4 linked regions of the Lytechinus pictus genome follow. The protein of the gene in region 4 binds, or shares a complex with, the protein of the main gene of each other region. Links are inferred from orthologs where the notes say so. Each region holds a gene or a part of one and is shown on either strand. Other genes may lie near its edges. The genes, in order: eukaryotic translation initiation factor 3 subunit H-B-like, eukaryotic translation initiation factor 3 subunit B-like, eukaryotic translation initiation factor 3 subunit F-like and eukaryotic translation initiation factor 3 subunit G-like.

What was found.
Region 1: eukaryotic translation initiation factor 3 subunit G-like (region 4) and eukaryotic translation initiation factor 3 subunit H-B-like share a complex: the UniProt entries of both Drosophila melanogaster proteins name them as parts of the eukaryotic translation initiation factor 3 (eIF-3) complex. The link is inferred for Lytechinus pictus from reciprocal best matches to the Drosophila melanogaster genes eIF3g2 and eIF3h.
Region 2: eukaryotic translation initiation factor 3 subunit G-like (region 4) and eukaryotic translation initiation factor 3 subunit B-like share a complex: the UniProt entries of both Drosophila melanogaster proteins name them as parts of the eukaryotic translation initiation factor 3 (eIF-3) complex. The link is inferred for Lytechinus pictus from reciprocal best matches to the Drosophila melanogaster genes eIF3g2 and eIF3b.
Region 3: eukaryotic translation initiation factor 3 subunit G-like (region 4) and eukaryotic translation initiation factor 3 subunit F-like share a complex: the UniProt entries of both Drosophila melanogaster proteins name them as parts of the eukaryotic translation initiation factor 3 (eIF-3) complex. The link is inferred for Lytechinus pictus from reciprocal best matches to the Drosophila melanogaster genes eIF3g2 and eIF3f1.

Annotation. Positions count from the first base shown.
Region 1 is NC_087261.1:24,760,147-24,767,283, forward strand, and holds the start of eukaryotic translation initiation factor 3 subunit H-B-like, read right to left. Parts: upstream 3,011-7,137; 5' UTR 2,961-3,010; coding exon 2,904-2,960; intron 1-2,903. UniProt on the Drosophila melanogaster protein: Component of the eukaryotic translation initiation factor 3 (eIF-3) complex, which is involved in protein synthesis of a specialized repertoire of mRNAs and, together with other initiation factors, stimulates binding of mRNA and methionyl-tRNAi to the 40S ribosome.
Region 2 is NC_087254.1:11,012,939-11,020,944, reverse strand, and holds the start of eukaryotic translation initiation factor 3 subunit B-like, read left to right. Parts: upstream 1-5,000; 5' UTR 5,001-5,196; intron 5,197-6,417; 5' UTR 6,418-6,537; intron 6,538-7,059; 5' UTR 7,060-7,063; coding exon 7,064-7,117; intron 7,118-8,006. UniProt on the Drosophila melanogaster protein: RNA-binding component of the eukaryotic translation initiation factor 3 (eIF-3) complex, which is involved in protein synthesis of a specialized repertoire of mRNAs and, together with other initiation factors, stimulates binding of mRNA and methionyl-tRNAi to the 40S ribosome.
Region 3 is NC_087252.1:22,051,719-22,059,108, reverse strand, and holds the start of eukaryotic translation initiation factor 3 subunit F-like, read right to left. Parts: upstream 3,013-7,390; 5' UTR 2,975-3,012; coding exon 2,845-2,974; intron 244-2,844; coding exon 173-243; intron 1-172. Other genes in the region: mitochondrial import receptor subunit TOM70-like, read left to right, coding at 6,672-6,908. UniProt on the Drosophila melanogaster protein: Component of the eukaryotic translation initiation factor 3 (eIF-3) complex, which is involved in protein synthesis of a specialized repertoire of mRNAs and, together with other initiation factors, stimulates binding of mRNA and methionyl-tRNAi to the 40S ribosome.
Region 4 is NC_087259.1:30,430,714-30,438,713, forward strand, and holds the start of eukaryotic translation initiation factor 3 subunit G-like, read right to left. Parts: upstream 3,008-8,000; 5' UTR 2,905-3,007; coding exon 2,888-2,904; intron 1,398-2,887; coding exon 1,351-1,397; intron 818-1,350; coding exon 729-817; intron 119-728; coding exon 59-118; intron 1-58. UniProt on the Drosophila melanogaster protein: RNA-binding component of the eukaryotic translation initiation factor 3 (eIF-3) complex, which is involved in protein synthesis of a specialized repertoire of mRNAs and, together with other initiation factors, stimulates binding of mRNA and methionyl-tRNAi to the 40S ribosome.

The sequences.
Region 1 (7,137 bases), on a different chromosome or scaffold from region 4:
CATTTTCTCGTGATCTTCACGTAGATACCGCAGGGTCATTGTGGTTGTAAACTTTTGCTTAAAGAGGGCGCGCGATATTATTCACAAGATGTTTGTTTACGGTTCTGCAGCTTGTACTGCTAGCTGCATTTTAGACGCTCAGCATTATTTCCTCTTTCTGTTTTTTTTTTTTTGCTGTCAAGCGGTATTTTCTATTGTAGCGCCATCAGCGATGATGAAATGTAAAGAGTCGCCTTGAAATGAAGAAAAATTATGTCACATTAATTCGTTAGTTTGTTGACTATTTTTTTTCACTTTTTTCTTCTTCCTCATCTATGATCAAAGGTGAATACCTTTTTTTTATATCTGTTCTAAAAGCTGGACATTTTAAATATTTTGTTCAAGTAAATAAATCAACAGGATAGTAATCAAAATGCGATAGAGCTGCCCGAGCTGAAAATTCTGATACAAGGACTTGAAAATAAAACATTCTGAGCACTTTTTATAACCATGATGAGGAGACCTATATATATGTGTGTAAAGTTATACATGTACAACAGCTTTGGCAACTCTTTTATTTAAATATTGTAAAGAAATGGATGAAGAGAACAATGGAACATATATATATATATATATATATATATATATATATATATAAAATGCTTGATTTATTTACGCCTATATATATATATATATATATATATATATATATATTTATATATATATATATGTATATGAAATAAGCTAACACGAAAAAAATACGTTTTGGGGACTGTTAAATAAGAATTCATGAGTGGTATAGGTAACTATCTATTCTATTCTTGTTCGTTTTCTATTATTATTTGTGTGTTGTGTTTATTTTTCTTGAAGCACCAAAAGGTGGACATGTCCGCTAAGATATATTAACGAAGTCACCATTATTATCACAAGCTAACGGATCAATTAAAAAACGAGCGTGAAACGTGAGCTTCTTTTTTTCTTAATTCAGTCTTAACGATACTTTTTAATCATATTTTAAAGGTGAATCTCATGATTCAAAATGATAAATGCTTGTCGCACGGGCAGAAATAGCGGGACCAATAGTTATTTTCAATATTCCAAACTGCATTCTGGACGTTGTATAAGCGCCTTTGTATAACAATTAAAAGGGTAGGTCTATTTACCTTACAAATTATGCGAGCGCTGAACTTTTGGACATTTAAACCTCAACAAATGGACATTTTTAAAATATGAACAACATCATAAATGTCACTTACAAAAATGATGCCAGCGCGAAGCTCGCACTTAGAGTTTTTGATATTGATGACAGGACTGTATCTAAATGAAAAATAATGCGAGGGCATTTGCGCTTAAGATTTAAATTTGGGATTTGAAAAGTCCGACAGATTACCTATACTTTTAAAAGAGGAATGACCTCCAGAATTCAAGCGCGAAGCGCCAGTAGATTTATGTTGAAGTTTAGACCTAGAACAGGGACGTTGAACCTTTATAATCATGAAAAAGATGTTATTTTTATAAATAAAACATGGGAGTCTAATTTTGTTTTAGTGTTAATATTCAGATCTTCAAACTTGACATTTTCCTATCCCCTCCATTATCCCCTCTCCTTCTCCCTTTCCCCATTTTCGTTCTCCCTTCTTTTCTTCTCTCCCTTTCCCTTCCCTTTTTCGCTTTTCCTTTCCCTTCTTTTCTTTCCTTTCTCCCTCCCCTACTCTTTTCTCGCTCTTTCCATTTTTCTTTCCCTCTCCCTTCCCCTCTTCCTTTCTTTTGTTTTCTTTCTATTTTATGGTCTCCTTTTCCCTCTCTCTCCTCTACCTTTCCCCCTCCCTTTTCCTTTCCCTCTCCTTTTTTGTGCAAACATTAACACGAACATCTTGCTTCCTACACACACACACAAACGCCCGCACGTAATGCGAAACAATCGGGACATTATCATTTTGTTCATACATATATATGTATATTTTCTCAATGAACATTTTCATCTATTTAAAGCTTTGAAAATTATCAAACAATGATTCCATAGGCGAAATCTCAATGATCATTAGAAAGGTACTTTACCCATTTTCATTTTAATTTTTTTATGTCATTGTGATTATTCCATAAAAAGGCAACATATTTTGGATATAAAAATACGTGAAGGATATGTTCCTCTTCTGTTTTATACTTTAACAGAAAACATTTTGTTCAACCAAATTATGATTTGTATTTCCAAGTTCCATGTAATATTTTCATTGGAAAATCTCTTAAAGGTCAAGTGCACCCCAGAAAAAATTGTTTGAATAAATAGAGAACTATGTTGATTTTTGGTACAATTTCCTATTATGCGCCGACGACTTGCATGACTTGAATCGAGAATGTTCGATAGGAAAATTTCGCATTTCGATTGTTGTTTGCGTAATTTCCACCGCAGTACGAAGGATGACTAAGGACGGACCGAGCGAAGTATCCTGGTTGAGATTTGGAGGTAAGCGATAAAAACACTTTAATAAATAATTTATAATTGCTTTTTCAAATAAACTTGATCATACGATCAAGATTAACATAGTGGACAAATATTGAAAGGTTTGGCGTAGTTTAGTCCCTCACATTCGTGTGATGAATGAAAACGTCAAAATGCACTATGAAATCACATGTGTTGTGCGAGGTTAGTATACTAACCTCGCATGTTGTGTGAGTGGCCGTGACGTACAGTACTACGGTACAGTACAGACACATGACAGAAAGTGTGGTCCATTGATTGAGCAGGGAGACTGGAGAGTCATACGCACACATGTCTGTCGCGGGAAACATACGGCAAAATAAACAACGAATAAAACACACTTTCACTCGCCTGAATTGTTCAAAATCAATCAAGTTCCACTAATTAAAGTATAGTACATTGAAAACCAACAAAACAAAGCAAAATAAGTAAGGAAAATACATACCAAGCCGTCGATTTGTACTCTTGCCACCGGAGTCTCGAGTGTACTGTGTGTCGCCATTTTGAGAACTGCCAATTTGAAGATCGCGATTAAAATTAAAGGGGAAGTTCACCCTGAAGAAAAGTTTGTTGTAAAAATAGCAGAAAAATACAAAAAATATTGGTTAAGGTTTATGAAATGCATAAATTTCGTGATGACTGAAGGTACAGTAATAACCATTTTCAATTTTCCGAGAAAATTACATTCAAAAGTCTCTATCAGGGGCCGCGGAACGGTTTTCAAAGTGGGGGGGGGGGGGGCTGAGCCAAAAGTGGGGGGGGGGGGCTGACAATGCAAAAAATCACAACCGTATGGTCATTTTTACGTTTTTGTACATGGTTTTGGAAAAAAAAACCAGCCCCCCCCCCCCGCTTCCGCGGCCCCTGTCTATATAAATCTAAACAATTATCAATTATCATGGAATGTAGATGGCTAGCTCATCAAACGACTGAACGGAACGAGACAATTGTGTTAATATAGACGAACCTTTATTCTGTAAAAAACTTTTCTCAGATATATACTTTTTTAAAAGTGAAACACATTATATCAAATAGTGATAATATATCATACAAGGGATAAAAATAAGTGCGAACTGTAGATCAACTGAGATAAGTAAATTATTTGTTCACATGGGGCTTAAACATCCAATGTTCAAGCCAATGTGCCTCTCGCGAATTAGAGTTTTCATTATTCGTTTTAGCGAGATACACATCCTACCTATTCATAATTTTCATAATTGAAATTGTTTTAGCTCGCGCTACGCGCTCGCATCAATTATTTAATTATATTGTCATCCACTTCATGATTACAAAAAGTGCTTAGAACGTCGACCAGTTATCATATCAGGATATCAAAACAAGTTCAGCTGGCGCTTCGCGCTCGCATTATTTATTTGGTGAGAGGGGGTGAGATATCATCTTCATGACCCAGTGCAAACAGTTAACTTAACAGGTCCCTTTCTAAGTCAGTAGGGTGACTATATAGGGTCTACATAAAAAAAAGCTCGCGCTTCTCGTATACAAAACATATCGTTGCACTTCAATCAAACAGAAATCCTTCATTTGTGATTGAAGCCCTTTTTTTTTTTTTTTTTTTTTGCTTGTCAATTTTTTTTCTGATACGAAATCCTTCATTTGTGATTGAAGACCTTTTTTTTTTTTTTTTTTTTTTTTGCTTGTCAAATTAATTTTTTGGCGGACGGTTTTGCCCCCCACCCCCCCTGTGAAAAATCCTAGGTACGCCACTGGGTACGGTAATACCCGTCGGTCCAGTCCATTGTCGTCCTGGCGACATCGCCGGGGTATAGTGCAACCCAAAAAATATGACATTTTAATGTATTAACATGACCGAAAGTATGACATAAGAAACACCACTACAACATGAACAGAAGATAAAACAAACTCACAAAAAGACGATTAATACAAAATACTAATCTACAGTGGTTACAATTTATGCAATGGAAAAATAATTGTTTATGTTTTGCCATTTTACATTGTGTTTATTTAGTTTGTTTTTCTTTTTTTGCAATAATTTCCTCAGTAAATTTATAAGATAAAAGATAATAATTAAATTGTTTCAAACTAGAGAGAGTCTCTTGGTATTTACATCTCAAAATGAATTGTTTAGGCCTACCAAGTAAATTAGAAAATTAAATGCTAAGGTGGATTGACTTAATGGTTCTAGTAATCCAAATAAAATAGTATCTCGTGAAAGGAAATAATTAGGATTAAAATCAGTCACTCTCATACGCAACGCATTCCAAAAGGATGCTATTTTAGGGCATGCAAGAAACAAATGATCCAATGTCTCGGGTGTCGCATTGCAAAAAGAGCATAATGCATTGGTTTTCTTTCCTATGTTTGTGAGCCATTCATTTGTAGGTATTAAGTTATTTAAAGTTTTATAATGTGTAATTCGAAGTATTGTGTCAATAGTGATTCGTAATGGAAGAGTAAACAATTTGGAAGTCTGTTGCCTATCACTGGCGTAAATCCCGGGGGGATGGGGGATACTTCCCCCACTTTTCGAGGAGGGGGGGGGGATGGCCTGTACAAACATCCCCCCACTTTTTACGAAAGAAATGAAGAAAAAAAACATCACAAGAGATAATTGTTTTATTGGTGAAAATTCTTCCTGAAATACCGCTTAACAAATAAAACAATATTATTGAATCATAAAATGCAAATAAAGAGCCAGTTCACCATTTCCAAACGAAATACAATGTCCTTATCATAACATTGAAGAGAAACTCCCGTTTCTTCCAATTCATCAATGTTGGGGTCTTTGGGAAGGGATTAAGATGGAATGTCAATTCTTTTTTAATGTAATCTCTAATAAAACCATTAAACCCTCATGGGATAAAAAGATAATAATATTGGAGGGGTATTTGCCATATGGACATACAGTGGCGTAACTACGGGGGGGGGGCATGGGGGGCACGTGCCCTCCCAATCAGCTGACCAAAAAAAAACGGGGAAAAGGGGAAAATGAGAAAAGAGGGAGAAAGGAAGAGAAGCGTATTATTCATTATAATGTTATATTATAATTATGTTATGTTACATTACATAAGAAACAGTTTTATCATAACTTCATGAAACATAATTTGCCAAGGGCCTACGTTTTCATTGTCCCTGGTGCTTGTATTGTCTGTTAACGAGATATATAATCCTGTTGTACTGAAACATCCCGTTTTCAAGTCAATATAAACCAAATATATTTCCTAGCACTTGAGTTATCATTGTTTTATGTAGTGACATAATTTATGCTTCTTTTCATGACTCAAAAAGTGATTGCCCCATGTTAAGGTCTTCTTATATATGAAACATTTCCTGTCCGTGATTACGTTCGCATTAGTGGATTGGTGAGATATGTCTGCTCTTCATGAATTTCCTAAAATCAGTCCTTAAAATGTCCCTTCTTCTGATCTGAATATCAAAAATTTTCAGCTCGCGCTTCGCGCTCGCATCATTTGGATATTGAATTACGTATGGTCCTAGTTAATTCCTACAAAGAAACCTTAGAATGCCCCACTTCAGGTCTGAATTATCTAAATTTTCAGCTCGCGCTTCGCGCTCGCAATATTTGATTAGTGAGATGCGTATGATAATCATGATTGCAATGACTACAAAAAGTGTTTAATGTGTTCAGATGTAATTCTTATAAGCCAGCAAGCGCTTGGCACTCGCATTAGATGACTATGGTGAGATATGCATACTCTTAATGGATTCCTAAAATATATTCCTCAAAATCTCGCTGTTTGGGGTCAAAATATACGAAAACTTCAGCTCGCGCTTCGCGCTCGTATTGTTTAGCGAGACAGGTACCTATCATGATTACACAAATTTGATTATAATGTCTCTTTTAAGGTGTGAATATAAAAAAAATTTAGCTCGCGCTTCGCGCTCGCATTATTTGATCAGTGAGATGCATATCCGTTTAATGACATTGTCCAGAAAATTTCTCTATTAGGTCAGTATAACTGGCAACTGAGCACGCTCACTCAGTGATTCAAACATTTTGCTGGTGCCCCCTCCCCAATGCCGTGACCCACGGTACGCCACTGTGGACATATCAATGACAATTCCTTGCATATCTAAAAACATGACTGCAAAAAAAAGCCAAAATATTTCAGTCATCCCCCCACCCACCAACACGGATTTACGCCAGTGTTGCCTATCGATGTTGTAAAGTTGATTAAAACGAGTAAACACCTTGGAGGTTTCGGAGTTATGAATATTTAAAAAAGTGCGATAAAATTGCTTAGTCGATATATTGTGAATTTGTCTAAATGCAGATTCACAGAAAAGAGAAGGGAAATCCCCAGGTTCTTTTACAAGATGATGATAGTTTTGTTGTAAAAATATTTGTGTGTTGCCCCCAAATGTTTGTTGCCTCCCCCTAGGTTAAAAATCCTTGTGCTGCCATTGCCCCGGACCCGATCTGCATAGCACTGGCCCCCAAAAGTTCTACCACTCGAGAAAAAAAAAAGATGAAAGAAAAGAAAGGAAGATGTAAGATATGATGTTATTTCCTGAATTCCATGTCAAAAATCATTCTCAAAGTTAGATTCTCATAAAAAGGTGATTTTTTTCTCTCTCGCTTCGCTCTCTCTGGACTTATATTAAGCTACTTTTTGCTGGGCGCACAATAGTACGGTGCCCCCAGTGTGCCCCCTCCTAATGCTTGGGGCACAATCATA
Region 2 (8,006 bases), on a different chromosome or scaffold from region 4:
GGATACACAAAATGAAAACGCAAGAGGCTTGAAAGGCCTATTCATAAAAACCACGTCGTGTCCCAAATTGTGCTTAATATTCAGCTGAACTTCCAAATAATACAGCAATTTTCATGCAAAGAATAATGCGTATGGTAGTTCGTGTGTTCAATGTTTTCCCCAATTGAAAGTTGACAAGATATTGAGGCAGTTACTCTCAGTAGTATTATATACAGGTTCTTCAGAAAAACCTTGTGGACATTTTACAATTGTGAACGGTTTAAAATATTTCACTTGGTATTATTCCGTTATTTTGTGTGAGTTAAGCATCTTGAAATGAAACAGCATATATCATATATGTCAACTCGATTTTAGAATAAAGATGACTTGAATAGTTGACAAGGAAACAGAAATACAAGCTCTATATATGTGTTTTATTTTTGAGTTCTCGGTGATTCTCATTTCTTAGGTCCGACGATCGAAACCCCTCTATCGTTTCCTAATAAATCTGAAATAAAGAAAAGTAGAATAAAGTTATATTTTCATCTTGAAGTTTAATTGCATCTAAAAATGATGGTAAACATAATGCGCCATGATGAAGTGTTTTGATGGTGATGATTTGCCTGCATGAAATGAAGTGTGGATTCTGATGTTTATGGTTTTATGGACATATACAAACAGAGAAAAAGTTTTAATGACTATTTCTTTTTTTTCCTAAGTGATGAAATGGATTCACGATGATGATTGGCCTTTGTGATAAATGAACTCAGGGTGATGATGTACGAGTGGGTGTGCATGGTTTTGATTGCATGATGGTTTGGATAATGGGCAATTCCGTAAAATGATCAAGCTTTCTGTACATTCGACCCCCATTTTTCTAAAGTCTTACATCACTTAATAAACTGGCCAAGTCATGGTCATTTGACAGCGTTACAGACTGTCAAAAGAACCAAGAATCATAGAGACCGAAAATTTCATGAAGATCCCAAATATAGAGGTTCGAACGTACATATTTTATGGAATTGCCCTAATAAAAATATGACAATAGTGCGTGATCGATGGTGGTTGACAATGATGATAAATAACGTAAGACTTAGGGTATGTATGTGGGGTGAGGGGGGGGGGTATAAATCAAATCAGCAATGATCGTTATGAAATCGGAATGAAACTCTATGTGAAAAATAATACTATTTGAAACAAAAGTCGACATTATTAAAATTGGACACTTAATATCAAGGTTACAGCATGCTTAAGATTTCAGTGAAACAACTCTTTACTGTCTTCATCAATATTCAATCATGAGCAAAGTGATCGTGTCACGTGAAATATCCCAATTTATTTTTTCGTATATTATAAAATTATGTTCAATTTGTCCTCCAAGAATGAAAACAAAAACTGACAACAGATTTAATACATTTGATACTCTTTGCTGCAAGGCTTGTTAAGGAGACATACCATACTCACATCTTATATGTGATATCTTAAGAAAAAAGAGTAGGGATGTGACATAATCGGCCTAATGAATATTGATGACGACGTGCATATAATTATCTTCACAAAACATCAATAATCTTTAAAATTCAATAACTTAGTTACTTTTTATCAGATTTTCATAAAAATTTCCAGCCTTTGCTTGGTGAATCTTACCCTATTTATTCAGAAATCATTTTCAGCCCTGAGTTCACCTTTCAAACATTTTATTAAGTCAAGTATAGACCTTAAATTGACATGAGGAAATTGATCTGGCGTGTGGTAAGCATTGGCGGCGAAGTCAAAAAATTTAGGGGGTTCCACCCGAAATTTTGTGATGATAACAGGTTAAACAAAATTGACAAGCAAAAAAAAAAAGGCAATCAACTAAAATTTTAGGGGGGGGCAGAAACATTTTAGGGGGGTCCACGCTGACTTTAGGGGGGGGACGCAGGAAATAAAATTGACAAGCAGAAAAAAATAAAATAAAACAGATTATCAACTAAAATTTAGGGGGACCACCCCCCCCCCCACCTCAAATTTAGGGGGGAACCTGTCCCGCCGCCGCCTATGGTGGTAAGAACATTATTATGACGTATTGCAATGTCATTCTGGTACGTCATACTAATGACTCATCACTCCATGCTGCACGTGGGTTGCCGTCGCACATCGGGGAATCCCTGGTACTGGTAGTACCAAGAAGCTCCTTGGTAGTACACAAAAGCAATGGCATATCGCGGTACGGCACGGTGCACGTAAATCACATGGTACATCCACACACCATTATTGTGTGCACATACGACATGTACTTGAATGCAAGTCCGATGATTTATGCATTGTGATGCAACCACTGATCTCCACTCTAAATAAGATGCAACCTTGTGCTTGGCGAAGTACTCGTAATCTCTATTGTGACGTATATGTGACCTTTCAACTAGAGCAGTGACCCAGACGTGTCCGTCTACGAACGCATTATTCATGAGCAGTTGATAAGTTGCGTATTTGAAAGGCAAACTTGACAACGAAAGCGGTAATGAATGTATTGCGCGCCCTTCCAACTCCGCCCCGGCCCCTTCAATGCGATGCGGCGTACAGCAGCTCTGTGTGTGTTTTAGGTCAAGCAAAATGTGCCACTATCGGTGTGATATCGCTTACGTTTTAATCTGAAAATGTGCCAAACTTTAGAAGCAAATATCTCTGGATTTAAATGCTTGTGAGTTATGAAACTTGATTTACATGTTATTTCAGATATTCTCTTCACTTTCTGCTACGTGACAGTGATTTAATTCACAAAATAGGTGATTTCTGAAAAACGTCCAGACACCCTACTAGTATGGAATAGCGGTTGAAAGCTTTAATGTTACAGTTCATGTGTTAACCTGTACTAGTACGTTGCTGATATTTTGATAAGATAAGAAGAACCCCCCCAAAAAAAAACATGAAAAAAGCCTGGCTTCATTTTTGTGTTCATCCATTTATTTTCGTCTCGAGTCAAGACGTCAAGTTCAGTTTCTGGATGCGCTGGTGGAGTTGTGTTACTGCTGGGGCGGTATTCTGAAAACTGTGTTAACGTGTTAACTTTGGTATAAATATTGACCGTGTTATCTCTGATTTAACACGCCCCTAATACCCCCCAAATCCGGATTCTGAAAACCGTGTTATCTCATTTCGTGTTAATCTAGCTTCAGCTCCTCCCAATCTGCATCTTTTTAAGCCAATCAAATGCGCTGTTAAAGAAAAAATCTTTTCAGGGAAAAGGGGAGTGTGCGCACGATGACATGAAGCCTGCATTGTTACATCATTTTGGAAACGCATAGAGCCTAGATCTACAGCTAAATAAAAAGTTAGAGCGAGAAAGAGACATGGGGAGGGGTGATTGTGACAATTAAGAATGGATTATTTCAGACAGCATGGGTACGAAATTATAACAGGAGACAGAATTAAAATTTGATGCGTGTAGCGATCAGCCCCTTCCCCCCCCCCTCCCCATCCTCCCACATCCGAAGCATATAGATTGACTGGCGGGATAGATGAATTAAGGATTACCTAGAAGCATTGAGAGTTTAAAAAATTGTATCAATGGAACTATATATACATGTAACCATTGAAAAAGGGTTTTAAAAAATTGTGAATATTATAGAAGAGTTCCCTAATCGCTAATTCCATTCTTTTTAATTTCCGTTCATGCTTTTTTAAAGATGTTTTTAATTTTCTTTCTCTCCTTTTTAGATGTTTTTAATTTTCTTTCTCTCCTTTTGTCTTTTTTATATTATGGCAAAAAGTAACCAAATAAATAACTCATGAGCATATATGATAATGATTTGAATTAATCCAAATTAAAGATGCATTTGAAGTGTATTTTCACAGGAAATTCCAAAGAAATTTTTGTTAAACTTTAATCATTGTTAGTAGAGAAAAGGGAGATGGAAAATAAAGCTGGAATAATGAAACAGGGATGCCAGTCTTCAGGCAAAAGCCTGAAATTCAGGCTCTGGCAATTTATTTTCAGGCCGTAGTTATAGCATTTTTGTGTACAAATTATTGTATTCTAGGTGATTTTCAGGCCCTCTGATCAATTCCAACTGGCATCCCTAAATGAAAGAAAATTACAGTAAATTCTGCCAGATGATAGCTTTATGCCCGGATATGTTCTTTTTGACGTTTGCGTCTGCTAGAAAAGTGCAGCCATCGTGTTCCCTAACTTAACCTCCTTATCGCAGTGTTGAATTTTTGTGTTATCTACTTATCTTTGAACAAAATTTTAGCTAACACCATTTTCAGAATACCAAATTTCATGTTATGTTCCTCCCTAACACCGCGTATGGGGGTTGCACGTTGCGCACTGCGTATTTCATGACCTACTCGGTGTTACCACTTGGGCCACATGTTTTTCATACTAACACTATTTTTAGAATACCAATCGTGTTAGCTGACACCGTTTTTGTGCTAACACGGTTTTCAGAAAACTGCCCCAGGTGTCTGGACTATGTCTCTGACCCTGACTGTGGTGACCAAATGCCCTTCATTTTTTTTTTATTGATGACCTTTTATTTTTGTATGTTAAATATTTGGTACAACAGTACAAAACCTAATCTAGTCTTCTAGAAATTCACCCTCTTAATCTCAGCAAAAGACTAGATCGCACATTGCAAATAACTGATGATGTAACAATATTAACTGAGCACTAAAAAAAGCCTTAACAAGATCAGGAAAAACATTTCTCACAGAGGATGTGGCTGGCACGGCAGATGATAAAGTTGAGTTGTAACATAAAAAAAGTTGTTCCACATTTTTTTTGACAAAATGAATCAGTAATGTATATGACTTTCTTCACGGAATGCTGTCAAAAAGTTTGATCTTCCTGTGAGTCTTCACATTTATGACCTTGTACACTCGCTGGGTCTAAGATCTTAGTTACGCTCAAATAGCAGAGCTATTTGAGTTACTGAAGAATAAATGGTGCATTCAATGTAAGTTATATAAACTTATTTTTAATCGAACTTGCAGATCATTCTTAATATTATAAACCTTGTATAAACCTCTCATTGCAGAACTTCTCGGTGATATACTTCGAACCAAACCAAAGGAAGCTCTTGGCATCGATTCTGTAATTGTCATCGACAATGTACCACAGGTTGGAGCAGATCGGTTACCAAAGCTGAAGAACGTCATCAGGAAAGTTTGTAGCAAGTATGGAGAGATCAGCACAGAGCACTATCCTGATGCTGAGGATGGCAAGACAAAAGGGTAATAATCTTTGAAGTTAGTGGGGGTGTCGGCTTTCAAGGGGGATTTGACACCACTCTTGGTTAACCATGGAAGATTGAGATTTATGACTTGTTATGTAATGCCACTGGAAAATGCCTTATATGGTAGTCATTTTCTCAGATTTCCTGGCCTGACACTGTTGCCCGAGGCTTCTTGCTGGTATACAGAGTTTGCTTTCCCCAAAAGATGTCTCTGTTATGTTTATTTCCAATTGGTCTAATGCCAATTCCTCTAATTACCAACTCATCTACTATCATTTGATCTATCATCAATTCGTCCACTATAGTACATGGTCCAATTGCCATTTCGTCCACTCACCTTTTTGGTAAATAACCAGTTGGTCCAATAGCCATTTAGTCCATAAACCATTTGGTCTAATTGGATAAGTGTTGAATGGGCGAAATGAATGAAAAGAAAATGGGTATAAGACTACATGTAACTGGTTATTAGACGTAATGGTCATAGACGAACTGGTGATTAGACGAAGTAATTATTGGACCAAATGGTTAATGGACCAAATGGTTGTTAGACGAAATGTTGATGGATGGAATGGCATGAGACTAAATAAAGGTAGACCATGTGATGAGTGGATGAATTGGCAATAGACGAATCGACAGCTTACCCTCTATTACAGGTATTTCCACTGCTTTTTACATAATCTGGGATCAACAAATAATCTATTCCCCATGAGAGCTGACACCCATTCACTGTAAAGGGCATTCCCCCCCCCCCCCCCCAACAAAAAACTTGATTTTGAATAGTTAGAGAAGAATCAAACTAATTTAATCAAAAATCGGATCTTGAAAGATTTCACAAAACATGTACACATGTACAGCACAGTGATGTGCTCATGAGAGAAGCAGCGCCACTGATTCTTTTGCCTTCTGTTACATGAATAATATTTCAATTTTTGCTGATATTTTGACAAAAAGAAGAATGGAGATAAATACAGCTCCTAGAATAGTCTGATGTTGGAGGATAGGAGAGAGTTCTTCCTCCTTTTCTTTCTAGTTCTTTCTAGGTTTCTTTCTAATTCTGTAGAATTGAAATATTCTAGTATTGGTACAAGGAATCTTGAGAGATCAAGAATCCCGAAGTTTATTACCAAGATTTGTTTTTACTGTTCTTTTGCAAAGCATCAACGGAGATCCTTTTTACGTAATTAAGAATTCTTATTCCTTTTTAATTTTTGCACCACAGGTATGTTTTCGTCGAATACAAATCACCTGAAAACGCCATCGAAGCTGCCAAGCAATTGAGTGGGTACAAGCTTGATAAACAGCATACGTTTGCTGTTAACTTGATCACAGATTTTGACAAGTAAGTTGCTCTTCTTGTAGCCATTTTATATTGTGATTTGATAGGGTCATCTTCTTGTGCCATAATCCTGATTTTGATAAGGACAAGGGTGTTGTTTCATGCTTTCATTTATTAGATGACACAATTTTAGTAGTTTATTATAGTAGTTTTCAACTTGTTATTGATGAGCAGCTTTGAAAGTTTTTTTTTTTTCTTTTGGGGGGGGGGGGGGATTTCTATGTTTGCTCTAGCTATTTGTGTAAGGAAAAGTGGTTCATGCTTTTTAGGGGCAAGGTTCTAGAGACTAAGATAAGATGTAGGGAGGGTGCACTGCTAGATGTGACCATGAGAACGTTGGACACACAGATCACAGAAATTTGCTCAGTTTGGCGGCGGCAGCTGTGATGTGTGGAACCCGGATTTAAATTAATGTGAAGAATTATGTCATGAAAAATTGCCTCGTACATAATTGTTGTAAATACATGTTCATATTTAAGAAAGGCTTGATTAATGATTTGATTTGATTGTTCCTTCTATTGATAGGTTTATGAATCTACCGGATGAATGGACCTCACCCGAGAAGCAGCCATACAAAGATCATGTAAGTCTAGCTCAGGCTTTTAGCAATAAACGTACTGACCCATCTTTACCCTTGTGCCTTGTGGGTAACTTATCCATTATGTGTGCACGTCACCTGGTCCAGCTATCCGTCTTTGACAGCTATGTCGGGGTGCTACATAACTTTTTGAATAGTTGGAATATACTTGCCCGAAATCTATTTCACTTGCCCGAAAAAATCCTTGAAAAAAAGTTTGCCTCTTCAAAAGAAAATATTGCGGTTAAACCATTGACCCTTTTTTCTCTCTTTTGACATGAACTGATGTACCTTGTTCTTACATTTCTTTTTCCAAAGTGATTTTATCTTTTCCACCATGACCCTAATTTTGGTCATTCTACTGTGAGAATTTTTGCTTGCCCAATTCGGGCAAGTAGTTTTGGTCTTTACTTCAAAACATTTGCCCGACTTTAACTTTTACTTGCCCCGGGCAATCGGGCAAGTGCTTATGTAGCACCCTGTATGTTCAATAATTTTCTTGCAGTCTTAGGGCCTTTTCACACGAGAATCTTGAATAATCATTGTAATGATGATTGCAATTTGTCTTTAGAATCATTGTACCATTCACACGTTTGCTTGAAAACTGATCTGAATTCGAATTCCTGAGCGAAGGCGGTACTGTGTCCTTGGTGACTTGTCAATCAAACCCAATCAAAGCACTGCATTGCAAAAACGAAACGATGAGTGCATGACAATTGTATTATCTACGGAAGTGCTTGAAAGGTCACGTAAGCTCGGCCCCTCAAAAGACGTCGGGAGGTCAACCCTTTCAGACGAAAAATTTGTACCGTAATTTGAGTGAAACTTAATGGAATTCACCTCCGGAGTAGAATTTGAATTCGTGATCGTGATTAGCGTTCATGGTTCTAGTTCA
Region 3 (7,390 bases), on a different chromosome or scaffold from region 4:
AGTATGGATGCTTTAGTGTAAAAAATACAAGGAAATTATTCATCATTCTTAATAAACATATATATACGACTGAATGAACATATCAAAACGTTGCATCGTAGATAATGATGTAGGGTCAATACGAGGTACTATAGGTATCAAGATGGTGCATTTCCGAGCAGCTTTAACTCACCTCATCTTCTGATTCATTGTGAGGCACACAGAAACAATTTGTGACTTCAACAACTCCTTGAATACTCGTACCTACATTAAAAAAAAAAACAGAGGCCACAATAAGGAATTATGTTAATTGAATCATAAGTAGATCAATGATGAATTCTGCAAATTACAATCTGATAAACCTACATTTTACACTAAAATAAATTGATCTCTTTGTATATAGACACAGTGAATTATTTGAATTATTTGAAAATGACCCCCCCACCTCCTCATATGTATTTTTTTGTGTTTTTAAATTTAAAAATTTCATCATTTATTTGGGTATTATTAAAGGAGAATGAAACCCTTGAAACCAGCTGAATCCATATCAAAGAGAAAAATCCAAGAAACATATCGTTGAAAGTTTGAGGAAGATTGAATGAATAATAAGAAAGTTATGAGCATTTGAATATTGAGATCACTAATGCCATGTAGATCCTCCCATTGGCAATGCGACCAAGATCTGTGATGTCACACACGTACAACTCCCTCATTACTTTAGTACTTATTTCACTTATATTCTCACTTTTATAGAGTCTATCACAAGGTGAGGTGTTCTCTTTATGAGAGGACAAGTCAGAGGTTTCACAACATTATATCATTGATGAATCGTTTGTCATATGATTAGAATGAGCAAAAAGAGATGTTTTGGGGTATATTTTCAGTGTCCAAAAGGGGAGAGTTGTTCATCTGTGACATCATAGATCTTGGTCGCATTGCCAATGGGAGGATCTCCATAGCATTAGTGATCTCGACATTCAAATGCTCAGAACTCTTCTATTGCTAGTCCTATTTTACTCAAACTTTTGTTGATCTTATTCTTTGATTTTTTTGCTTTCACAAAAGCTAACTTGCTCCAAGAGTTTCATTCTCCTTTAATCTTGGAATATGGATAATGTACATTAATTACATTTTTTTGAGAACATGACATGTAACATTATATAAACATTGACTGCTTTAGTAGGATGACTGTGTAAATTGTCATTCCCAAGGTGCTTTTCATACCAGCCCTTCTATCACCCCACTGAGGCACTTTGGAGAGAGATGAGTTCCACCGTCATCCGAATACAGAGCAGTCCATATATACCTCATTCTCGAGGTCGGCATGACGTCACAGTCACGTGATTTCCCTAACAACAAAGGGCAAAGGTGCAAACAAAGGGTGCGAGCGTACGTGTTGGCTGTGCAGTTTCCTTGAAGTTTTTTGGAAGTCGTTGATTTGAACTGTTATATTATATTTTCATCGCGTTTTGTACTGCATTTTGATTTTAATTGCTGGACAATGGTGAAAATATGTTGTGTGTACGGGTGTTCCAAGAACAAGGCAAGATGGCCAGCTTTATCCGAAGTTTTAACGTACATCACTACATGCGCAGTGAGTCGCCATGTGCAATTTTTTTACTGTTGCGCCACTCACCTGTCACTGCATGACCAAAATGGTTCTAGAAATCATTTGCAATGTTGAAAAGTGTCTTGTGGCATCTGATATTAATCCTCAGTAATTCCCTGAAATGCTGCAACATTTGGTTAAAAGATCCAGCAAAAGAAAAAGGAGTTTAGCGCAGTCAAATTCGGACTTGCAAGCTTGGTCCGTACGGTGCGAATTTTAGCTGCCATTTTTCTCGGGCGACGATTTGAGACGCCCACATTAAGCAATCGATGTTTCAAAGCTGCCTGCTCAAGTTACCAATATTTGGTATCAAAATATAGATTATAAAAAAATGCTCACGATCATTTCATTTTGAAAGTGGGGGTGACAATTGTTATCAAAATAAGAGGGGTGGCATCTCAACGTATATCTCAACCCAGCTGAGTCAATGGACTTTTGTTTGCGCGCCCCGATTGTTCCGGCTTTGTTTGCACCCTCGCGATCGGTTGCTATGATTGTTCCGGCTTTGTTTGCACCCTCGCGATCGGTTGCTATGCAGAAGTTACTTTTGCGAGTGAAAATCCCCGGATGTCCGACCTCGAGAATAAGTTTACCCAAGGGTTACTGGTATCAATACAATAGGACCACTAGATCTAGTGTAACTGAATTAATTTGCTAAATCACACTCAGATGAGTCGAGCACCAACATTAACAATCCAACACCAACACAGCTAATTTTAGATTTTTACAGTAAATACACGCGCATCTATGGGAATCGTGAGCTGTAGGAAAAGTGCAGAAAATTACACTTTTTTATACAAATTTCTGTGAAAAAAAAGTTATAGAAAGTGAAGAATATTACAATCAGACCATTTCCCTAGAAAACTGTTAGTGTTACAAGAAATTTCGAAATTTAATTTATTTTTTTATGACAAAAAATAAGACACAATTTGGTGAAGAAAAAAATCACGAAACAGGAAGGACAACACTCAACAGTCAACACGACAACAGAGTCAGGCTCAGCCGGCAGCCCTTCGTCACCCCCCCCCCCCCCCCCTTGGTGTACAGATAGGGGCTCTTCTTCACGAGTCCCCCTCGTCCACTGGCCACTGTCACTGACACAAGCCTCGGGCTCGGGCCAGGACTCAGGAGCTGCAGATGCCAGAGCCCAAAATCACGTGTGGTACACAGCGCTGGAATATCATTCATTTCAATGTACAGAATCTCCATCAAGGCATTATTTTATTTTGCTGAAGTTATTATCCTTGAATACTTACCAAGTAAAGTTCCGATTACACGTGCTGATTCATCTGTCCGCCTCTCGAAAGAGTCAACAATGCTGAATAAAACTACCGGATGGATATTCACGACTTTTGCTGAGGCCGCCATTTTGAATGCTGCCATCATTGGTTGGAGAAGGGCCAGGCTAAATAAATGTTTCTCGATCAGTCGATGGGGATGAGGGGGGGGGGGGGTGAGTGGAGCTATTTTGAGTTGGAAACAGCTGAAGAAAATGCCAAAATAGGCCCCGGTGGCCTGAAAATTATTTCCATCGGGCCAATAGCTTTAAGAATGTATCTCCAGTTGAAATTCTTACCAGCGTTTCTACATCGATCATGACTGTGTTTGCTATTATAAAAAAAAAATATATTGAAAAAGATCATCAAGTTATTTCATTAAAAAAATTGATGGGGTACAGGGGGCGCAACCAAAGCCCCCCCCCCTTCCTCCTACAGGCCTACGCAAGTGAGAATAGTTCCTCCTCTATCATGAAACAATTCCCGTGGGATGGGGGGGGGGGGTCTTGCGTGTATATCGCATACGCGGGGATGTGCCGCTCCATTTGGGTCATTTTTTGCAAAAAATAAAATAAAATAAAAATAAAACCCTTGACATGGGTCTTGCTATTGCAAGAAATCCTTAGTCATGGGTTCCTTTTTTTTCTACTGAATAATCCTTAGATATATGGGTCCGTTTCTGGAGGAAAAAAAGTAACAATATAAGAATCCCCAGGAAAGCCCCCGAAAATGTCTATGTCCCGTTTGAGAGTATATAGTCTGCAGGCACAGACCCTGATTGAAACTTTGATCAACAAGTGTGTCTCCACGCAAAGACTAGCACATACAAAGCTTTGCTGTTTCAATTCAGGAGCGACTCAGAGGGCCTTCAGTACATACATGGGTACATGGGCGGAAATCTCTCCTTGAAGGTAGGGGGGACACAATTGAGTTTTCCGTTTTTATGTTCTCCAGAATAACTAACTCAAACATATATATATCCTTAGATGTGACGGGAGATGCCGATGATTGTGCAAAGTGCTCAATGCTATATAAAGCAGAGCATATATTCATATTGAACGTCTGCTAACGGCGGTTTCGAGACCAAACCGGAAACCACCGAAGCGTCAAATTGACCCGCCGCACCACACAAAATAGTCAATAACGTCAGTCTGCCTGAAGATGTCCTCAAGTCTGGGCGTGAAACCGCCGGTAGCAGACGTTTAATAGGTATGAATATGTATACATATAGGCCTATATATATACATATTTCGAAGAGGGGAGGTATTCCTAACTAAAGATGAAAGGCCTCAATAAATAATGCGAGCGCGAAGCGCGAGCTGAAAGTTTTTTATTTTCCAACCTAAAAACTAGACATTCGTAACACTTTTTCAAATAAATCATGAACAGAATAGGAATTCAACTAAATAATAGATGCGAGCGCGAGCTGACAGTTTTTGATTTTCCAACCTAAAAAGTGGACATTCTAAGCACTTAAAGGTCAAGTCCACCCCAGGAAAATGCTGACTTGAATAAATAGAGAAAACTCAAACTAGCATAGTTCTGAAAATTTCATCAAAATCGGATGTTAAATAAGAAAGTTATGACATTTTTAAGTTTCGCTTATTTTTCACAAAACATAATGCACAATTAGGTGCATGAATCAGTCGATGATGTCCATCACTCACTATTTCTTTTGTTTTTTATTGTTTGAATTATACAATATTTTATTTTTTACAGATTTGACAATAAGGACCAACTTGACTGAACCATATAGTATTAAACAAAGCTAATTCCACATGTTCAGAGAGGAATTAATTGTTGTATCACTTGACAATGAGGAAAATATAAGAATATTTCATATTTCATATAATAAAATACAAAAGAAATAGTGAGTGGATGACGTCATAGTCTCCTCATTTGCATACCAGCCACAATGTGCATATAACTGTTTTGTGAAATTTAGCGAAACTTTAAAATGTCATAACTTTCTTATTTTACATCCGATTTTGATGAAATTTTTTGTGTTATGCTTGTTGGATTTTTCTCTTTTTATTCAAATCAACTTTTTGTTGGGGTGGACTTGTCCTTTAATAATGAACGGAATAGGAATCTAAACAATGAATGCGAGTGCGAAGCGGGAGCTGAATGTTTTTTATTTTCCAACCTAAATAATGGACATTCTTAGTACTTAAAAAAAAAATTATGAACAGGATAGGAATCTAAACAATTAATGCGGGCGCGAAGCGCAGGCTGAAAGTTTGTATCTTCTAACCTAAAAACTGGACAATCGTAACACTTTTTCAAATCATGAACAGGATAGGAATTTTACTAATCAATATTAGATTCGAGCGCGAAGTGTGTACTGAAGATATGTCATTTCCGGCCTAAAAATTGGTATTATTAGCCTATTTTAAAATCAAGGACAGGGTAGCTATTTAATTAAATTTTTATTAATGTGAGCGCGAAGCGTATCTTTATTTTTTTCCGACCAAAAAGTCATCTTCTTTTAACCTTATAGCAATATAAAAACAGGATAGCATCTGACGCAACCATATTACTGATGCGAGCGCGAAATTATTATTTTTTAATATACAGATCTGAAAACTGGATCTTTCAAGCACTTTTGAAATAAATAACAAGCAGTATATCTCATAAAGCAATGCGAGCGCAAGCTAATAAAGTTACTGGGCGGTGCCGAAGCTTAATTACCGGGCGGTGCCCGCTCAGCGTTATTAAAGACATTTTTATTTTTTACCTATTTTCCACAAAAAAATAAAAGATGAAGGGGAAAACCTTTAATTGACAATAATTTTATTTTTTGCTCTCGAGAGGGGGCGGGGGCACAATTAGTCAAATATCGGATGTACCCCTACCTAGGTCTGCCACCATGGACTGAAATCGGTGGCGTCGTGAGCCGAAAATTTTTATGGTGCCAGATTTGGTGTATATCAGGCAAAGTTCATAGAAAGCTACAAGTGAGCGAAGCGAGCGAGAATAAATTTCTACTTTTTAAATACAAAAATCAAGTTTTGTGATAGATTTAGATGTCACATTGAGGAAATAATATTATATTTTACTCTTAATTCTCTCTTTCCTTTTTTTTTCGGGGGGGGGGGGGATCCCCAAGCCCCCGCATCGATCTGTACGCCACTCCCTAAAACAATAATAATCATGATGATGATGATAATAATAATAACAATACTAATGAAAATAATAATAAATATAATAATGATGATACTAAATATTTTAATGGTAATATTTCATTTAAAAAATAATGATGAATTTTTATAATTGAATAGAGCATACAATACTCAAGTTGTGTAAAATTAAATGGAATGGCGGTCAAAAGGGGTTGGAGGTGAATGGAGTGAGAGACCAGTTTCTCTTTGAAGGGGGGGGGGGGCTCGACAAAATATAACAGCTTAATTGAGCCCCCGGATTGAGCCCCCACCCATAGTGGGACGCCCCTAACCCCCCCCCCCCCCCCCCCGATCACTTTTCAAACCAGGATTCTCTACTGGCCAATGAATTGTTTTTAAAAGGCATCTTATGTAGACCTAGATTCATTCCCTAAAATGCAAGGTTGATAAAATAAATGCTAAAAATTCTGAGACTGCCCCGGGAGACTGCATGTCTCCGACTCCGAGCAACTTCATCACACCACACTCAGTTAAGGAATCTATCTCTTATGTAGGGAATATTCTTTGTAGCTTTTTCCGTATCATTATGCATTATGATAATGCAAAATAAACGCCGCAATGATCACGCACGTGCGGGAATAGTTCGTACCGCACAACTTATGGCGTTTCACTTCGTAATCCAAGATGGCAGCGAGTAGCAGGCCAGGGAGCGATGTTGGATGGACAAAATGGCAAATTGCGATAGCAGTCGGAGCCCCAATAGCAGTGGCAGGACTTGCATTTGGAGCCTACTATCTTACTCGAAGTGGGAGTCCAGAGGAAAGCTCGGATACTAAGTCAGGTACTGCAGGAACTTCTGGAAATACCAAAGCCAATGGCGAAGGGGATGCGGGAAAGAACAGCAGCGTGGAACACACACAGGTGAGTAGTGCGTGGAAAGACAATGATTAGGCGAAAGACAGGGTTTGGGCTCGGCGGCACGCCCGGCGAGCCTGCATTGCCGGCTCAGCCTCCGTCCGCGGAGCTTAACCGGTTAACATGGGCATTGCCATGGCATGGCATTGGTGATTGGATTTGGAGGTTACTCTCCTACTCTCTCTGTCCTAGTCATGGCTGGCCCTTGTTTCAATTGCACAGTGCAGAATATACGAGACTACTGCCTGGAAAACTATTTCTCGGGCCCGTGGCAGGGGCGGGGCTTTTGCAAAACCACAAAAATTCTGACGTTTCTACAATTTTTTTTTTCTTCAGGAACTAACTTTTAGAGAGACAAATTACATTGTGCCACCAGTCCACAGCTCATGCCTTATCAGTTTTGATATGACAATGGTTTATCAAGTGTGGTAAAATTAGGGATATTAATAATATATAAATCCTGTGAGGGAAAAAGGGTGGAAAGTGCG
Region 4 (8,000 bases):
TGTATCTGGTATAACTTGACATCAGAACCATTTTTTTTTGCTAATTTCATCTTCATACCTTTCGTTGAGCTACTGACTTGGAGGCTTTCCTCTTCTCAATCTTAAATGTGCGTGTGATCTGAGAGAGAAAAAAAAAACTTCATGATTTCAAAAAAACTAAATACATATAGCCTGTTATGTAAATCACACAATGTAATTATTTCTTTTAGGGGCATGTAACACAAAGATTAGTGATTGATTATACAATTGATTCCTTTGACTGATTGCACATAATGATCAAGGTACTCAAGGGTAAAAATCAGACCTAGATCAAGCACTAGGTTTCTTGTTACTGACCACTGATTGTCATGTATTAATGAAATACAAGCACAAATTAAAATTTGTGGTTTAGAGAATTTGCCTACTTTGAACATAAATATTTCAAGGAACAAATCACTGAACTTTTGTTAGTAAATTGCAGCACTGTGCTGTTTGGTACTCTTACAGTGGCAGTGAAGTAGGATGTACTTACTGTAGATGTTAACAGTCCGACTTTGTAGGACTATTTGTCCATTTTAAAATAAATGAATATATGTTTAAAATAAATGAATATATGATAACAAAATGACTTGTATGCACAACCAAACATGAATACATGTAGGCCTACATAAGACAAGTGATTTTATAATTTGTAGATTCTTTGATAAATGTAGATAATAATCATAAATCTTGTAAATAATTGTGGGTACCTTTATCAATTTGCCATCTTCATCTCGTTTGTACTCGATCAACTTCTTGAAATCTCCTTCAAACAATTCTTCAGGAGGTGGAATACTCCCTAGTAAGATAATAGGAAAGAAAGATATTAAAAAAAAAAGATTTAGCATAGACTGTGATACACTCCTGTATCTTGCCTGATTTTTTAACCAAAAATGTGGAAAATAATGCTCAGTTGAATAAGTTCCTTTATTGATGATTGTAGCTTACTGTACAATGAATTCAATACAACTTTCAGTAGTGGTTCCGAATTCTGGCCTGGTCTAATAACTGGCCTAGTCTATTGTCCATCCAAGCTCAAATGATAGCAACCTAGTTTTTACAAATAAAATAACATAACAAACATTGACATTAAGACATAAAAGGTCACATACCCTCATCAAGGTCAGCTTTAAGTTTTGGGATTCATTCATCATTAACCATACAAGTTCAAGCTTTAGTAAGCACTAGAAAGGAAACTGAACTTTAAATTATGTGCAATAAACATCCTTTGAAGAATATTTTGCAATGATCATTATCTTTGCAAGTCCCTTTTTTTTAGGTTGGTTTCCTCTTTATAAAAAGAGGAGACGTAAGTCAAAATGACGAACTTACTCAAATCTCCTTCCTCTACTTGGTCTGCCCAGCTAATAGGTTTAGATCTGTAAAGCAAGAAGAAAAGTTTATTTTCATTTACAATAGGTCCTTGAACCGCTTTGTTATGATGTACCTTCGATTAGCGATGTTACAAAATGCCTTATTGAAGAACAATTCATAGATAAAATTATTATTTAACAAATACTAAAATTTAATACGTGATTAAAACCGTCATAACGAAGCGATTCAAGGGTCAGACTTATTGTATTTGCTTTGTTGAAGAACGAATCGAGAGATCTACACGAGTTCGGGCTGGTAAGAAACCTTCAATTTTTAACCTTCGTATTAACCAATTTTTGAAACCTTCATACGCATTAGGCGTATGAAGGTGTAAAAATAAATAAAATAAAAAACATTTACGTGATTTTTATCTTAAAAGATGGATTTCCTAGGGAAATCCATCTTTGTTTTAGTGAGTCTCTTATACATATATGGCAGGCAGTTCAAGGCTCCATGATGGAGAAGCTTTTATTATATGTCAAAATATTTAAAAAATATCATCATGGAGTCTTCAAGTTCAAGGCTACAGCTGATCTGCCCGCACGATCGCTCACGCGAGTGAAGTGCCTACTCAGACAGACAGTAGAGGCGCACGGCCAATATGGGAGACTCTCTCCAATAGGGGAGACAATCTCCCGCAATGGAGACTTGCTTTGCAAAAGGACAAAAGAAACAACACCAACAAAAGCATGATTTTTTCTACCCAAAATTTTGTCTCACTGAGGTCAGAAGCCCATTTGTTTTGAGTGTGATTGAAAACAAAAATCCTTATCGAAACAAAAGTAGACGGTGAATTTTTAAAGTAGACGGTGAAAAGGGGTAATTTTTCATGAGGAATCTGCTTATCACATTTTTATTTGCCGCCAAGGTAATCCTTTTGCAGCAAATGTAAACAAAGGAAATTGGTCTCCAAAACTGGAGACTGTCTCTGAAATTTGATACCCAAATTCTTTACAAAAGTCTCTGATATTGGAGATAATCTCCCACATTGGAGACAGTCTCCAATATTGGCCGTGCGCCTCTCTACTGACAGAGCACTCCTCAATTTTTAAATCTAATCAAAAGATTAAAAAAATAACCATTTATGATTTAAAATAGGCCTAGATCTAAAATGATATTCTGAATTGTCTGCTTATGTTCCATTAATTGCCTAATCACTAAATTGAACACACACTCAGTCACACTCATCGCAATGCAAGGAACACTGTCTTGCATATCAGATTTTCTGTGCTGTATAGGCGTAGCTGGTGAATTAACTCGGGTGATATTCCAATACGTTTATCAAGAAAACGTGATATCACCTATTCAATTGCGTGTAAAAGATATCTCACACGCTAGGCCGTGGCGCATGCCTCTTGAGGAGGGGAAAGTCGACAAAGATGGTGATAAAAAGAATCTTTATCATGATAAATTTTTCAATTTTCTGAGATTATAATACTTATTAAAATAAAAATAAAAAAATAAACATTTAAATAATATTCTGGTTAATGCTTACGTATCGGCCGAGGGCATATTTGAAGACTGTTTCTAGGCCAACTTTCGTAAAAGTGAACAGCTGCTATGACACACATGCGTGACTTGCGTAAGTACACGTATTCGGCGCGCGTACAAAATGAATGGGACAGCTGCACCAAAGCTGCACAGTAGATGGCGCTATATCAAAACCCGATTCGGGATCAAAGGGGGGGGGGCGGAGGGCAGTGGCGTAACAGGCAGGGGGGTTTCACCTGGAAAATAAGGGGGGGAACGGGGAAAAGAGAAATTGATTGATTGATTTTATTTGGCAAGTCACAATAACATGGACGAATCGTAGTCCTGTTAACTACCACGAATGGAAAGTCAATTCGTAAAACCATCCACTGTAAACAAGACTTGGAGAATCTGTAACCTGAGAGAAAAATCAATGCTGTTGCATTCCCCCGTGCATTCCAGTCTAGTTTGTTGGTTTATTGGTTTATATCAATCGATTTATTATCTGACTCTTAAAGATAAATAAAAGTTAGTGACTGAAATAGTATATTACCTTTTGTCAATTATTTCTCAAGTGTTTGTGTTTTGTGTAGATTTTATGTTGTCCTGTGCGTCTTGTTAACGATGTCGAATGATGTAATAATAGAATCAAGTTTGAATAAAGATGAAACCATCAATAACTCATCTGCAAATTTAAACGATACTTACCTTCTTCCATTTGCAGAAATTGATGACTCGGAATTTGAATCCTTATTCTGTTTAACAAGAGAGTCCGTCGATACAGATAATATAGACGGACAATCTGTGGAAAATGGTCAGGACGAATATACCGACTCCACCAATGCGAAGTATTACTTGACCTCTGAATTTAATGAAATTATCAAAAACTCTGTAACAAAAAATTTTAGCATGATCCATTTCAATCCCGGGGGGGCCACTTCCATTGACGAGTGGATACCATGCGCGACCACGGGGTCTTGAAAAGCACCCTAAACACGTATTTTCCATATTCTGAAAATGCACCCCTTAACAAGTATTGGCGTGTGAAACCCTACCCTTAACAAGTATTGGAAACAAATACTATTGGCAAGTATTCCCAGAACTGAGCCCCTAAACAAGTACAGCGATGTATTTTCCATATTCTGAAAATGCACCCCTTAACAAGAATTGGAAACAAAACGATACTCTTAGCAAGTATTCCCTGAAATGAACCCCTTAACAAGTACAGAGGTATTTTATTGTTATGTCACGCGTCCGTCGGTCGTCGGTTTTACCTTTAGACACCATTATTTTGGTTTAGTACGGCCCCACCTTCCACACCTCGCGCAAATCGGACTCTAAACACGTAGTGTTGGGGCAAAAAGGACATCCTTTATAAAACATTTTGACTTTGTTTTATCATCCCCGCACATTTGACCCTAAACACGTATATTTTTCCTAGCGAAATAGATACCCTTTTTTCAATATTTTTGTGTTTTTGACACCCTTATCACGTTACGTACGTAACGTGCCCTATCTTGAAAAAGACATCCTTTTTACGTGTTTTTTTGGTCGCGCATGGTATCCACTCGTCAATGTAAGTGGCCCCCCCGGGATTTCAATGCAAGGAGTTTATTTCAAAATTTTGATTATATACACAGTTTTCTCTCAAATATCAGATTTAGATTTTCAGTGATTGGGATAACGGAAACGTGGATCAACTCAAACTCTGATGTCCCCTTTTCAATTGAAGGTTATAAGTTCCTACATGTTGACCGATTAAATGGCCGCGGTGGTGGAGTTGGTCTATTTATTCGAGAGGATATGAATTACAAACTGTGTGATTTTTCTGAGCACTGTGAAGGTGTCGATGTTTTAAGTATTGAAATAGAGTGCAAATCAGAGAAGAATATTGTGATTGGGATCATTTATCGTCAACCGAAATCGAGCATTTCTGCATTTACTTTATATTTTGATAGACTGATGAATCATAGTTACATAAATAATAAACGTGTCTTCTTTATGGGCGACTTTAACATCGATTTGTTTAAAAAATCTGGAAGCCCTCTTATTCTTCATTTTTTTAACCAAGTGATTTCATCGGGGTTTTATCCCATTATAGACAGACCTACACGAGCTAATAGTAGATCATCTACTATTATTGACAATATATTCACAAATGTTTTTAGTAGTTCCCCTCTGTCGGGTGCCTTTTTAACAGATATTTCCGACCATTTTCCGATCTTCCATTTGTCACATTTGTCAGATATTGTAACATATGAACAACGAAAAGTACACACCTACAGGAAGATATCCCCTGACAGCATTAATCATTTTTGTGCTGATCTTTCAACCGTGGACTGGTCAGATGTATACCTACAAAGCCACCCGGAGAGGGCGTATGACTCATTTTATAATAACTTTATTACATTGTATAACAAACATCTGCCAATCAGCACAAAGTATATTGGTAAACATCATCGGAATAGAAAGCCATGGATTACCCTCGATGTGATGAAGCTTATAAGAAAGAAAAACAAATGTTATAAATTGTATCTTAACTCTCCTACCAAAGTTAATCACGATAAATATAAAAAAGATTCGTAATATTGTTACCCTGAATCTCCGCCGGTTGAAAAGAAAATACTATTTTGACAAGTTTGAATCCATGAAAACAAATTCTAATAAAACATGGAAACTTATCAATAACATTTTGGGAAAACAGAAAAATAATTTTGATAAACATATGTCTTTTTTACATAATGATTGTAACATTAGTGATAGTAGTGAAATTGCTGAAAATTTTAACGAATATTTTGTCAATATCGGATCGAGTATAAACAATGATCCTAAGGAAGATAATTCTAATTCGTTTGATATTTATATGAATGACCCACTCTCTCATACTATGTTTTTTAAACCGATTACAAAAAAAGAAATATTAGATATCGGTAAATCGCTTAAACCTAATAAGAGTAGCGGATTTGATGACATTGATCCATCTGTTGTGAAGACTGTTTTACCCTTTATTATAGACCCACTTTTACATATCTTTAATTCCTCTCTTGCAACTGGAATTGTGCCTTCAAAACTGAAAATATCAAAAGTTGTTCCCGTTTTTAAGAAGGAGAATCCTAATTTATTTGTCAACTACCGTCCAATATCAATTTTGCCGTGTTTCTCAAAAATCTTGGAGAAATTAGTTTTTAACAGACTGTACAATTTTTTATCACGTCATAATGTATTATATGATAGTCAATACGGCTTCCGTCAAAATTACTCCACTGAAATGGCAGTTATTGAAATTCATGATAGAATAATTAGTGAGCTCAATGCCGGTAAAGAAGTTATAGGAATTTTTATGGATCTTTCCAAGGCTTTTGATTCTCTTTCTCATGATATTTTACTTAATAAGTTGCAATATTATTGTATAAGAGGGGTGTCTTTTAATTGGTTCAAGTCATATTTATTGCATAGGAAACAATTTACTGTCTATGATAATACCCATTCGTCTTTCATGGAAATAAAAACAGGTGTGCCCCCAAGGTTCTATTCTTGGGCCTTTATTATTTTTAATATATATTAATGACATTGTTAACTCTTGCCATGAACCACATTTTATATTGTATGCCGATGATACGTCACTTCTTGCCTCCCATGATAATATCACTACTTTAGTTGAAATTGTAAATATAAATCTTGCCCAAATTTCTGCCTGGTTTAAGTTCAATAGACTTTCCTTAAATACAAACAAAACTCATTGTGTTTTATTTAATAAAAAGAGGGGTGTGCAATATAATCAAACTGACATATTTCTCCATGTGGATACAACTCAATTGCAATTTTATAATTCTGTGAAGTTTTTAGGAGTGATTTTAAGCAATAATTTATGTTGGAATGATCATATAAGTTCTATCTCTGTCAAAATAGCACGTTTTATTGGAATCTTAAATCGTCTAAAATGTAATGTACCTAGTTATATATTATTTACTCTTTACAATGCTTATATTCTGTCCCGTCTTTCATATTGCAATTCAATTTGGGGTAACACTTATTCTAGCCATATACAAAAATTAATTATTCTACAAAAAAAGGCAATACGTATATGTAAGAAGACAGATTATAATGCCCCGACTTCTTTGCTATTTAAATCATTACGTACAGCTAAACTTCCAGATATTACCAAAATTCAAATTGCTTCAATTATGCAACGATACCACACAAAAAGTCTTTCACCTTATTTAATGAATATGTTCTCAATTAATGCAAACATTCACAATTACTTTACTAGAGCATTTAACAAATTCCACAGATGGACCTTTTCAAATGATAAATCTAAATATTCAATACGACATACTGGCCCCACACTATGGAATAGTTTAGACCTGAACACATATAATATACAATTTAATAATACTTTTAAAAGACAATATAAAAAGAAATTGCTGAGCAATTATTGATTTCTCTTAACGTGGTTTTGTACTATTTGCTTATTTGATTGTTTATCCGTTTGTTTATATTTTTTGTTTTGTTTTTAACTTTTGTTCTGTTTTGTTTTACATTGAAGTTTGTTTGAAGTTTGTTTAATTTATTTTTTTAAGAAATGACTATTCTTATCTCTATTTATTCTTTGGTACTTGCCGCATCCATACCATATACTGAATTTTATCTTTAACGATTGATATTTCGTGGGTATGTGCGTTTTAACAAGCCTTTTTATGGCTTTTTTGTGCATGCCCAATTTCCATTCATTATTTTGTTCATCTATATTTTCTATGATTATGTGCCAACCATAATTTTATCATTACCACTATTTGTTTCAGTAATGTTTTGTTGATACCTTTGCTTTGTTTCATGTTAGTTATTTATTTTTTTCTTTGTGTATATATACTTTTGTTCTCATTTTGTTCTTTTTAATGAATTTGGAAATAAATACTGAATTGAATTGAATTGAAAAAATATATACAGTAGCATTAAAACAACAGGCTTGCACAGGAATGACCCACGAAAGCTCGAAAGCTTATTTCCAGTGGGGTCCTCGACATACAGAATAAAAATAATAAAATGGAAAAATTATACTATTTACATATTAAAAAAATGAAGAAAAAAAAATCAGAATTTACTATTACCAATAAATAAGATATATAGATAATATATAC